Linked DNA regions of Macaca fascicularis. The protein of the gene in region 1 interacts with the protein of each later gene in a pairwise test. Links are inferred from orthologs where the notes say so. Each region holds a gene or a part of one and is shown on either strand. Other genes may lie near its edges.

The links.
Region 2: the proteins of DMD (region 1) and TRAF3IP1 interact in a two-hybrid assay, tested with the Homo sapiens proteins (2 studies listed by BioGRID and IntAct). The link is inferred for Macaca fascicularis from reciprocal best matches to the Homo sapiens genes DMD and TRAF3IP1.
Region 3: the proteins of DMD (region 1) and CTNNAL1 interact in binary tests that used the Homo sapiens proteins (3 or more experiments, as listed by UniProt). The two-hybrid records come from large-scale screens. The link is inferred for Macaca fascicularis from reciprocal best matches to the Homo sapiens genes DMD and CTNNAL1.

What each region holds. Positions count from the first base shown.
Region 1 is NC_088395.1:33,307,086-33,310,839, forward strand, and holds the start of DMD (dystrophin), read right to left. Parts: upstream 2,863-3,754; 5' UTR 2,627-2,862; coding exon 2,596-2,626; intron 1-2,595. UniProt on the Homo sapiens protein: Anchors the extracellular matrix to the cytoskeleton via F-actin. Ligand for dystroglycan.
Region 2 is NC_088386.1:134,235,042-134,238,795, reverse strand, and holds the start of TRAF3IP1 (TRAF3-interacting protein 1), read right to left. Parts: upstream 2,711-3,754; 5' UTR 2,555-2,710; coding exon 2,432-2,554; exon of another isoform or gene 2,404-2,431; intron 1-2,403.
Region 3 is NC_088389.1:49,182,407-49,186,060, reverse strand, and holds the end of CTNNAL1 (alpha-catulin), read right to left. Parts: intron 1,755-3,654; coding exon 1,698-1,754; intron 1,554-1,697; coding exon 1,440-1,553; intron 775-1,439; coding exon 691-774; intron 555-690; coding exon 489-554; 3' UTR 301-488; downstream 1-300. UniProt on the Homo sapiens protein: May modulate the Rho pathway signaling by providing a scaffold for the Lbc Rho guanine nucleotide exchange factor (ARHGEF1).

The DNA.
Region 1 (3,754 bases):
TAAACATATATACGCATACCAAAATATTGTATTTCTCATATGTGTGATGAAATAAAGAATAAATTGATGAAAGAGTATGATAAATCATTTTTAATAAGTTAGGAAAATATTACAATAGAAAGTGGGAGGAGAAGGAAAGTTTGGGAAATCAGTTTGTTTTACTCTTGAGATAAAATTTTGATGAAAGATAATAAAATAGAATTTTGAAAAACACCTGATGTTTCCAAGGCAATGATTTTAATCTCTTTTATTAAACTACACAAGTGGTTAAAAACTTGACAATTTGTTTCATATATAGCAAATGACGTGGAGTACAGGGATTTCAAATGAATGCTATAGGAATAAAGAGGAAGCTGTATTAATATCTCTGCCCAAATGATGAATTTGCAATTCAGTACTGTCTAGCTAGAAGTGTCAACCAACACCTATTTCCCCTTAAATAATGTAATTATGCATAAAACACTTTGTAGTCTTTTTTAAAGTTTAGAATAACATCTATATGACATACTCTGTTGTATTTTTCATAATGTTATGCCATGTAAGATACACCAAAACTTTGTATTAACAGTATATCATCAATTTAGATCAGCGATCTCTTTTTCATAGTTAAGATGTCTTTAAAAGATTCTGCAAATGAAATTCTAAAAGATGATTTTGTTAGACCTCAAGATGACTTACATCATTTAAATATATTCAAATGAAATATCTATTTGCCATACACTATTTGAATAATTCTTTACAATGCATTATTTGAGTAATTCTAAAAGTAAACAATACAATGTGTTTGACAATACAGTGATCTCTTTTACAGAGTAACTATTCTGTTTAAAAAACAAAATGTACTTTTATAAGTTTTTCAAACTAAGGCGAATTTACAAACCAGATTCAAATGTCAGACATCCAAATAGTAGTATATTGTCAAGCAACAAAATTTAATGTATAATATAGCCCTGAGTATATCTCCATTTTCCTTAACAAACTCATTGTCATGTTGCATAGGCATTACTTGATGATTTTTTAAATGCAGTGTGAAAAAATCCTACAGGACATGTTCCAAAAAGATTACCTTCCTTCACATTCGAAGAACTGAAAGTTTTTCAACTATCTATGACAAAGCAGAGGATAGGTTTACCTTGCTTCATTCCAGCAGAATTGCATATATTCTTTCAAAATTGCTCTATATACTGGTATATGTGGTTAATTATATAGAATATATATATATATATAAAATCACTAGCGATTTTGATAGTATTTATATTACATATATCAAAGAAATAAAAATGATAAATAAAAATATGTGTATATGTGTATATTGCAAACAACAGATATATGCCATGCATATTTTTGTAATGATAGTAAATATAATAGTTTTTCAATCTAAAAGCAATAATGATACTCACCAAAAGAAATTTATGAAGCAAGCAAACAATGTAACTAAATGTTGTATTATAAAATCTGGTAGCTTTTAATGTGACTCAATACATGGACAATGTTAACTTATTTCCACAAATTTTTCACAGTGGTAAAACGTCTGCCTTTTTTTTTTTTTTTTTTAGTAGTTGTGGAGCATTACTTATTTGGAGAGACTTATTTTTTCATTCTTAATTATAGGCATCGCTCTCATATCTATTTTAGAATAACTATACTCCACAAGTCAAAGATAGGTGGGGAAGAGATAAACTCCCATCTTTTTGGGACACACAGTCCTTATCATATATTATTTTTACTGTTGTGCCACAGTCCATTTTTAAATCCTTCAATAGTCATCATGACTTTCTTAAAAATAAACAAAATAGTTGCATTTCTATATGGAAGACAAACTAAAAAATTGAACTGAAAAGCTAGCTCATGATAGACTTGAAACATCTACTAAATATAATTTACTACTAAACATAATTAGGAGTTCCTCAAGTTTGTATGTTGTTTTCCCAAGAGATCATCTGATCATTTGATAGCATAGATCACATCATTATTTGAAATAATCATCATGGTATGCTATAGAAAAGAGCATTTGAAATAGTAAATGTGAGAAAGCAACATTACAATTAAATCTTTATCAATACTTTTCACATCCTTCAATTTTCCATCCCAACTCATTTTATTCTTTATTTTCTCCATATGTCAGAGAAACTTCTCCTAACTTTTAGGCCTCCATGTAGTTCCTATACAGTAGTTAGTTCAATTGAGAATATATGTCAGGTCAGTAACCTTTATGTAACTGTTACTAAATACAGAAGTATCAACTAGTCAAAATAATAACTGAGATATACAAACTATCTCACAGCAATCAAAATAATCTGTTATAATCAAATGACATTCTGCATATTCTATTACTGCAGTGGCTTATTAATCAAGAAATCATGTGTTTAATTCTTCTGCAAAGAAAAACTTATAAACTCAATTTCTATTGAAAAGTTTTCCCAATGAAAAATATATATTCCTGAATAAATACATATATATATGCAGTATATATAACATTTATGCTTCTTTGCAAACTACTGTGATAATTTAAAATCAATCTACCTAATTAGTGAGTTTGTCACAAACTAAACATTATGCCACAGTAAAATACATTTTTAGTTACTTTGTACTTACAACAGTCCTCTACTTCTTCCCACCAAAGCATTTTGAAAAGTGTATATCAAGGCAGCGATTAAAAAAACCTGGTAAAGGTTCTTCAAACTTTATTGCTCCAGTAGGCTTAAAAACAATGAGAAACCAACAAACTTCAGCAGCTTTAAAAAAATAACACTTCAGTTTTTCCTATTCATTTTTCTCTGAAGGTAATTGCCTCTAAGATCTGAGTCCCGTAGGGGGAAAGTGAGTGATCCCAACACTGAGTGAGTCAACACAGTAACTGATGCCAGGATTCTGTAGAGGCCCCTGGATATTTCAAATTCCAGGACCTGCGCACAAGCAAGTGACCCGCCTTCTCTCTCAAGTTGGTTTCCCATAATAGGACTGTCCATGGTCACTACATATAAGGTTGTGCTTCCAGCATGGCAAGCTCTGTGAATTCAAATAATGCTCAACTGTGTTCTGATTAATATCCAAACCAGAATAGCACAGTGGACATAGTACTAGCTTTTAAAGCCTTCCAAACACAAAAACTATTCAGTACAAAACCATAACAATATTTTCTGTAACTTTCATGTGAATTTATAACAGAGCAGAAAATCCCGATTTAAAATTGACTTTTAAATGCCTTTTTTATCCTCTCAACAACACCAAAAATTTCACTCTACCAAATAAAAAGAAATGCCCAGAATAATCTATGCATTTGTTATGTATCCACTGCCTACCAAAGTTATTTTTTCCCCTTGAGATTTTTGATTGCAAAAGTCATGTATTGATGATGCCAACAGTCTGAATAAGAGAAGCAGCAGCAGAACACAGCAGCTGAATTCTGAAGGCAGAATGTGTGTGTAGGTCTCATGGGACATGTTTTCCTGCTAAAATAAAGAATATTCTTATAATGGAGCAAAGACATTTTTCTCAAATCCTAAATTTCAGTTGTGAATTATGATAAAACTTCTTTACTAACAAATTATTCTTTCTTCCATTTCTCTGCTGCCAATTCTTAAAACACCATTTTCTTAGACATTGAGTTAATGATCATTTAATGGTTCTGAATGCAGGCTCTTTTTTTTCTGTATTAAGTGAATGCAGTTGTATTATGTCATTCAGCATGTAAATCATTCTTTGCCAATAGAAGTCTTCTTCATCTTGTTCCTTATTACTTTTATGCAACAGG
Region 2 (3,754 bases), on another chromosome or scaffold:
GCAAGACTCCCTCTAAAACAAAAAAAAAAAAATTGTGAGCAATAACTGTAAGTGACAAGAGACATTAACGTCACAGGATCCACACTTAGCTTAATGAAACGGGGTGGTTAGTTTAGCTATAGCTAAAATACTAATATAGTAATTTGTGTATAATATTCAGGACAGCAAGGCATTTTCATGAGAGGCTCCCCATCTATTATCTGAAAATCCTTTCCAATGTGTCAGTCATTCTAACATCTTTATCAAGTAGGTGACAATTTATTTATCTTTACACAGGGACAGAAATCAACTTTGGCATTAGATGAGGAAGTCTATGGGAGAAGAGCAGACCAGTAGTTCCTAATTGGGAACACGCAGCTCGTTCCACGCACCCTATCTACCTGGCCAGGAAAGCAATCCCCTTTTTTTTTTTTTTTTTTTTTTTTGAGACAGGGTCTTACTCTGTCACCCAGGCTGGAGTGCAGTGGTACAATCACGGCTCACTGCAGCCTCAACCTTCCAGGCTCAAGCAATCTTCCCTACTCAGCCTCCTGAGTAGCTGGGATTACAGGTGCACCACCACATTCAGCTAATTTTTGTATTCTCAGTAGAGATGGAGTTTTGCCATGTTGGCCAGGCTGGTCTTGAACACCTGGGCTCAAGTGATCGGCCCGCCTTGGCCTCCCAGAGTGCTGGGATTACAGGCGTGAGCCACAGCACCCAGCCCATATTCTTCCTCCTCTCCCATTAGGATGCCTCTGACCAACCATGTGGTAGTGACTGGACAGCCACCGTGAGCTGAGCGCCACTACTGCCCCACAAGGATAAGGCACACTCCCTGCACCTCCCTCTGCATTTCAGGGCTCTGCATTTCAGTGGGGCAGACAGGACTGGGAGAATAAAGGTTTTGGCAGCCACAGCTATAGCTGGCTGGGCTCACATTGGCTCTTGTTCCCTCTCGGTCAGAGGACGGGTACCTGCCTATTTCATGGGACAGTGGTGATGCGGCACACTGTTCCGCTCCCACCGGGCTATCCACACAGCAGGTCCCCTCCCCACACACTGTCCAGGACAGGCTGTAAGTGCTGCACCAGCTGGGAGGACGTGACCAGGGCTGGCAGTGCCTCGGGATGTGGGTGGATTCGAGAGCATTTTTAGGCACTGTTTTAACACAGAGGCACACGCTCCAGCCCACAAGTTTAAGCTAAGGTAGGAGGGCAGACCCAGTAAAGCAAAGTCTGTGCAAGAATAAGGCACCCAATCTGTTGAAAAGAGTGAGAAACAGAGCTTGAGGACCATCACCAGGTGAGGTCATGAGGCCCTGGAAGTCTGCAAGTCCAACCTGAATCCTAAATCCCAAAACACACCTCTGAGTTCCCACGTGCCCTTGGGTCCACCATGGAAATGGGTGCTGCAACCCCCGCAGTGACGCTCCTAAGAGTTACCAGGGAGTTACCACAAGCCTTGACAGGTCCCACTCAACAGGGGATGTTTGTTGTGCAATTTCTATGTACCTTACCCACTGCAGATCACCAGAGCCATACTAATAAGCAAGCCAGGGTCTCCGTCACTGAGGAGCACACCATCTGCAAATGGGGAAAAGCTACAGAGACCACCAATCTCAATTTAGGGCAGGGTGTGCTGCTCTGTTAGTTTTTCCTGCCAAGTCTCCCTACCACCACCTCCACTAAATTCACCCACAGGCATTTATTAAGCACCCAAAATGTGGTATGGAGGGAAACTTCGGGGCAGAAGGCTGTATAAAAAATATTATTTCCATTCTCCCAGGATTTAGCCTTTCACGTGCTAAATGCTTCAGGGAAAGTGAGAAGGGTTCTGCAGGGTTAGATGAGGTGGGAGTCACAGAAGCAGCTCTGCCAGGCAGAATGGAAGATGCACTAAGGAGACACACGGTAGGCAGGGAAGAAGTAATGGTCCCCGAGGGCCCGGAGCCTCCCTGTAAGCGGCGGCCCGGAGCCGGGGGAGGGGCAGGACCTCCGCGTGGAGGGCGCCGCGGAATTGGGCCTACAGGCCGGGCTCCCGGGCAGGGGCCGCACAGAGCTCTCGCCCCGACCCCGGAACTCACCCCGGTCCCCGACCCGCACCCTGCGCCCGGCCCACACCCGGCCCTGAACCAGTCCCCGACCTGCACCCCGAGCCCGGCCCACACCCGGTCCACACTCGGCCCTAACCCGGCCCCTGACCTGCACCCTGAGCCCGGCCCACACTCGGTTCACACTCGGCGCTGACCGGGTCCCCGACCTGCACCTCGAGCTCGGCCCACACCGGGTTCACACCCGGCCCGGGCCCCGACTCTGGCCCAGCCCCGGCCCCCCACCCGCACCTGAGCCCGAGCCCGGCTCGCACCCGGCGCCACCCGGCCTGGGCCCTGACCTCGGCGCCCACCGGAACCCCGACCCGCACCTGGCCGGGCCCGGAACCCGGCGCCCACCTCCGTGATGATGTCGTGCAGGTAGCGGAACGGGGGCTTGCTCAGCAGCTTCTCTGTCAGCGGCGGCCTCCGTATCACCTTCCCCAGCGCCTCCTGCGTCCGCCTCACCACCGCCGCGTTCATGACGGCGCCCGCCGCCCGCTGGCCGCCTGCGTCCTCAGCCGGCCCGGCCGAGCCTAAGCCCGGGTCCCTGGCCGCCGCCGGCCCCGCCGCCGCCGCCCGGTCCCGCCAGGACGCGCCGCTCCGGTTTCCATCCCACAGTGCACCGGAGCCCACCACAGCGCCTGCGCGGCCGCCGCAGGGCGTTCGGTCGCTAGGGCTGCGCGGCCTTAGCAACGGACGCGCCGCGATGCCCCTCCCCCTGCCCGCAGTCCCGCGCCCGCGCAGGCAGGATTGCGGGTTCCGCGGGAGGGGTTTGGGGGCGGGCGGCCGTGCCCGCGCAGGCGTGGCACGGCGGGGCGGGGAAAGGGGATCTGGGATCCGGAGCCTGGCCCCTCCTCTGCCCAGTGACGGCCTCGGGAAGCGGGTATTCGCTCGCGTTAGAGGCGACTGCCTGAGGACTGATTAAGAACAAGGTAAACTCCAAGATCTGTGCCTCCTGTTTCCCAGATCTCAAGGGCTTTTGCAGGCACTGGTTCATCGGAGGGGACGGTACTAAGTTATCCCAAAACACAAGGAATAGAAAATACACTGTCCTGGCTGGTACTTAATAAGGCTTCTTGGGCAAGTCACTTGTTTTCTCTGAGACTCTACTTCTGTTCCTACAAAGCAGGGCTAGTGTGCCCCCTGCCTAATCTACCTCCCAGGAAGGTAAATGGTGACTAAATGTGTCGGTGCTCTGAAACCGGGACAAAGCCATGCCCCGTTGTCTTACTAGGTGTCTGTGATTCTTTCCCACCTGTCCTCTGTGCATCATGCACAGGCCCACCGCAGAAGTCCTTCCAGCGATTTGAGAGCTCTGGGGTCTGTAGTTCTTCTTATGAACACCGTTATAACTCTTTTTTTTTTTTTTTTTTTTTTTTTTGAGGCGGAGTCTCGCTCTGTCGCCCAGGCTTGAGTGCAGTGGCACTATCTCGGCTCACTGCAAGCTCCGTCTCCTGGGTTCACGCCATTCTCCTGCCTCAGCCTCTGGAGTAGCTGGGACTACAGGCGCCTGCCACCTCGCCCGGCTAATTCTTTTTTTTTTTTTTTTTTTTTTGTATTTTTAGTAGAGACGGGTTTCACCGTTGTTAGTCAGGATGGTCTCGATCTCCTGACCTCGTGATCCGCCCGCCTCGGCCTCCCAAAGTGCTAGGATTACAGGCTTGAGCCATCGCGCCCAGC
Region 3 (3,654 bases), on another chromosome or scaffold:
TCTGGGACAGGGTCATCAAGGGGATTTTTGTCACACTTGGTAAAGAGAGGGATTGAAGAAGAGTCCACAGGTTTAAGGAAAACCCTGCGTTCACCCAGACTACTGTATGTTTGCTGCTGAAATTAGTGATCTAGATGATAAAGAAAGAAAACAGTTAAGGTAAAATATGCCAAAGGCGAACACATATTCAAAATAGCTTCTTTGGATTAAATTATCCTTTGGACAGTTGGGATATTTGGTTTGACTTTTAAAGAACACTAGTGCAATGTTCCATTTTTAAATCACACTACAATTAGAATCTAGCAATTGCCATGACATTTATTAGTTGTCAAAAAGCTTTACAGTTTCATGATCAGAAAATAGAGCAAAATTTCAATATTGTTTTCTTTATAAAATTGATGAATATCCAAAAACATAAAGGATCATTTGCTTTTTTAAAATGTCAGCTTCATCACATGATGTTCCCGAGATCTGATCCCATAAGCCTCTCAAATTTTACCATCCATACTGTCCTTATTTGTAACTGAGATCCATCCGTTATTTTCCATCTGAAGCTGGAAAGAGTTAAGACAATTAGTATCTGTTTCACTCTGAAAAAAAATTACAAAATTAAGTAGTAACTATTTTCTTTTGCATTTTCCTTTTAACCAATTTTTAAAGTATGAGTCTAAAATAGAAAAGCTATCTCACCTTCTTCAGCAGTTTATAACAAAGTGAAAGAAGTTGGACTAAGAGAGCCATCATGGATCTTGTCTTTGTAATACACTTATCAACCTACAGTGACAAAAAGCATGCAAATGATATTCTAAAAGTAGTATTTAAAAGACCTTACCATTTATTTAGTTTTAACATGATAAAATTTTCTCCATATGGAAATCTAAGGGATTGTGAAAGATACATGGATTTAGGCACATGAGTTGACTTAAAGCCCCAGGACACAGGTGCAGGGGTCACTGCCTACATCTCATGTCTATCTCATGGAACCTCAGCAGAAAGAGTGGGTGGAAAATTCATCATTCTAATGCAGGCTGTTTAGGGGCTTCCCAAAACACTCCAAATAGTGGAATTAAATCTCATCCTTTGCAATTCCTTGCACTCTGCATTGTGGGCACAAACCCATATTCTCTCAGACAAATTATGGGAGACCAGACTCGGAGGCACCTGTGTCCTAGTTACAGAGGAAATGACTTCAGAATTGAAGGGTAGCTGCTCAGTGCTATGGAATTAATGATGTCCCAAAAACTACTTTCTTTGGTGAATCTGCTACTCTCTGGGGTCAGTTATAAGGGTAGATAATAAATGATTCTTGTAGACAAGGCATGAAAAAAAGGAAATAAAATTGCCCTTCTGTGGGTATTAACACTTTATTTGAAGAAAAAGGGGCTTTCCCTAACCAGATAAAGATAGATATGTGAACGTTTTTCAAATGTCTCTTTTACCTTTAGAAATACTTTATTCTGCAAAGAAGTCTTAGTTACTGTCTGGAGCTGGTGGCATAGAGGAATTAGCTTGTTTATTTCCAGGAGAAGCATAAGCTTGTCATCGTCTTTCAGCTGAAATGTAATTTAGCAAGTTATAACAGCCCGCAACAAAACTCCATCTTTAATACCTTAAATACCTTTATACCTTGATATTATACCCCCAAAGTGGGTATATATAATACCACCACCAGCACCAGGCAGGTAGACATGTGTTACCTGTTTTGAAAAAGCTTGTACACTGGAAGTAAGTTTTAAACCCTCTGCAGCAAAAACCTGATAGAAAGAGAAAACACCACTATTTTAGACTGATGTCTATGGATAGTTGGTAAGAAATACACTTACTAATGTTTTTTACATAGAATTTAAAAAATAAAGCCTAGACATAAAAAGTCTGTCATGGAACTCCTAAACTTTTTCCTGTACCAGGAATGCACAAGTGTTTACCTGTTTTCTGAAGGAGTTTTCACAGACCAGATGCAGAATCCATCCCTGGAGAGGCTTCTCTACACCAGACCTCCAATTATTCTGGAGGGTCACGCAGTTGTGTGATATTCAGCCACACAAATTATGTCTAGATTACTCAAGGGACCTAGAGCTCATCTCAAATATGCTCAATTATAAAAGGATGATGAATTTTCAAGCATGAGGTCAAAAGGGTTAGGACCTTCCCACTTCCATCTAGGCAAGGCAAAATTTGTCACCCATCCATAACCAGACATTTGAGAGAACCAATCCAGGTGGTTGGGTTTTGTTCCGGTTTTTTTTTTTTTTTTTTTTTTTCAGATTAATTTTCACTATTCACCATGTACCATAAATTCTATAATTTAGTGAGATGAACAGGATGATGGAGAAGAACCATGAAAAATAAGGTTGGGCAGGTATGATAGAAGTATTTAGGATATTATGTTAAGATGGTTTGCAGAGTATTTCGGAGTGAGATGCCAGGGGAGTAAAGGGAGGAAGGCTTAGTTTTAGGTGGCAGCAGTAATAATGGAGAGAACAGGGAAAATCTGAGAGTGATTTGTGAATGAAAGTAATAGGTCTTCGAAATAAATTAAAGAATACTAAGAAGGAGGAGGCAATAATTCCAGAGTTAGTTTTTACCCTCTATTCAAAAGGCTTAACACCTTGCTATCATTGGATAAAGTGATCTCAAGGTCAAATCGTACTTTGCAACCTTCCCTTTAAAAGGGAAACCAGTAAACTTTACATCTAAATTCCAACCAAATGAAATGATTCACTTCCCCAAGTGTTCCTTATCACTTCATGTTACCACTTTCTATTCTGCACACTTTCTCTTTCCTTCTGGACTGCAAACCCCTTGGGGACAAAATCCATATCTGTCTCATAGAGTATGATGGTTTTAAAACTACCTGAAAGCTGATAACTCCCAAGTCTCTGTCTGCACTCCTGAACTATCCTGACATCTGTCTTGTACAGCCATCCCTCAGTATCCACGGGAGATGGGTTCCCAGACCTCTCCAAGGATACTAAAATCTGTAGATGCTTCAGTCCCTTAAATAAAACAGTGTAGTATTTGCATATAACCTACACGCATCATCCCATATACTTCAAATCATCTCATCTCTAAATTATAATTATAGTTCATGTAAATACTAAGTAAATCGTAGTTATACTGTATTGTTTTTCCCCCCTTGGAACTCTAACTTGTTAAAATGTATTTTTTTTTTAACTGTAGTTATGTTTTATTGGTTTTCTTCTTTTTTTTTTTTTTTTTTTTTTTTGAGACAGGGGTCTCACTCTGTTGCCCAGAGTGAAGTGAAGTGGTGGGATCACAGCTCACTAAAGCCTCGACCTCCCAGGCTCAAGCAATCCTCCTGCCTCAGCCTCCTGAGTAGCTAGGACTACAGATGTGTGCCACCATGCCCCGCTAGTTTTTATAAATTATTTTTTGTAGAGACAAGGTCTCACTATGTTGCCCAGGCTGGTCTCAAACTCCTGGACTCAAGTGATCCTCCCAGCTTGGTCTCCCAAAGTGCTAGGGTTATAGGAGTGAGCCATTGTGCCCAGCCTGTTTTTACTGTTTTGGATATTTTCAATCCATAGTTGGTTGAATCTGCAGATGCAAAACCTGCAGATAAGGAAGGCCAAGTGTATTTCCTATCTGACCTGTACTTAACATGTGCAAAACAAAATGCTTGATTTCCACCCT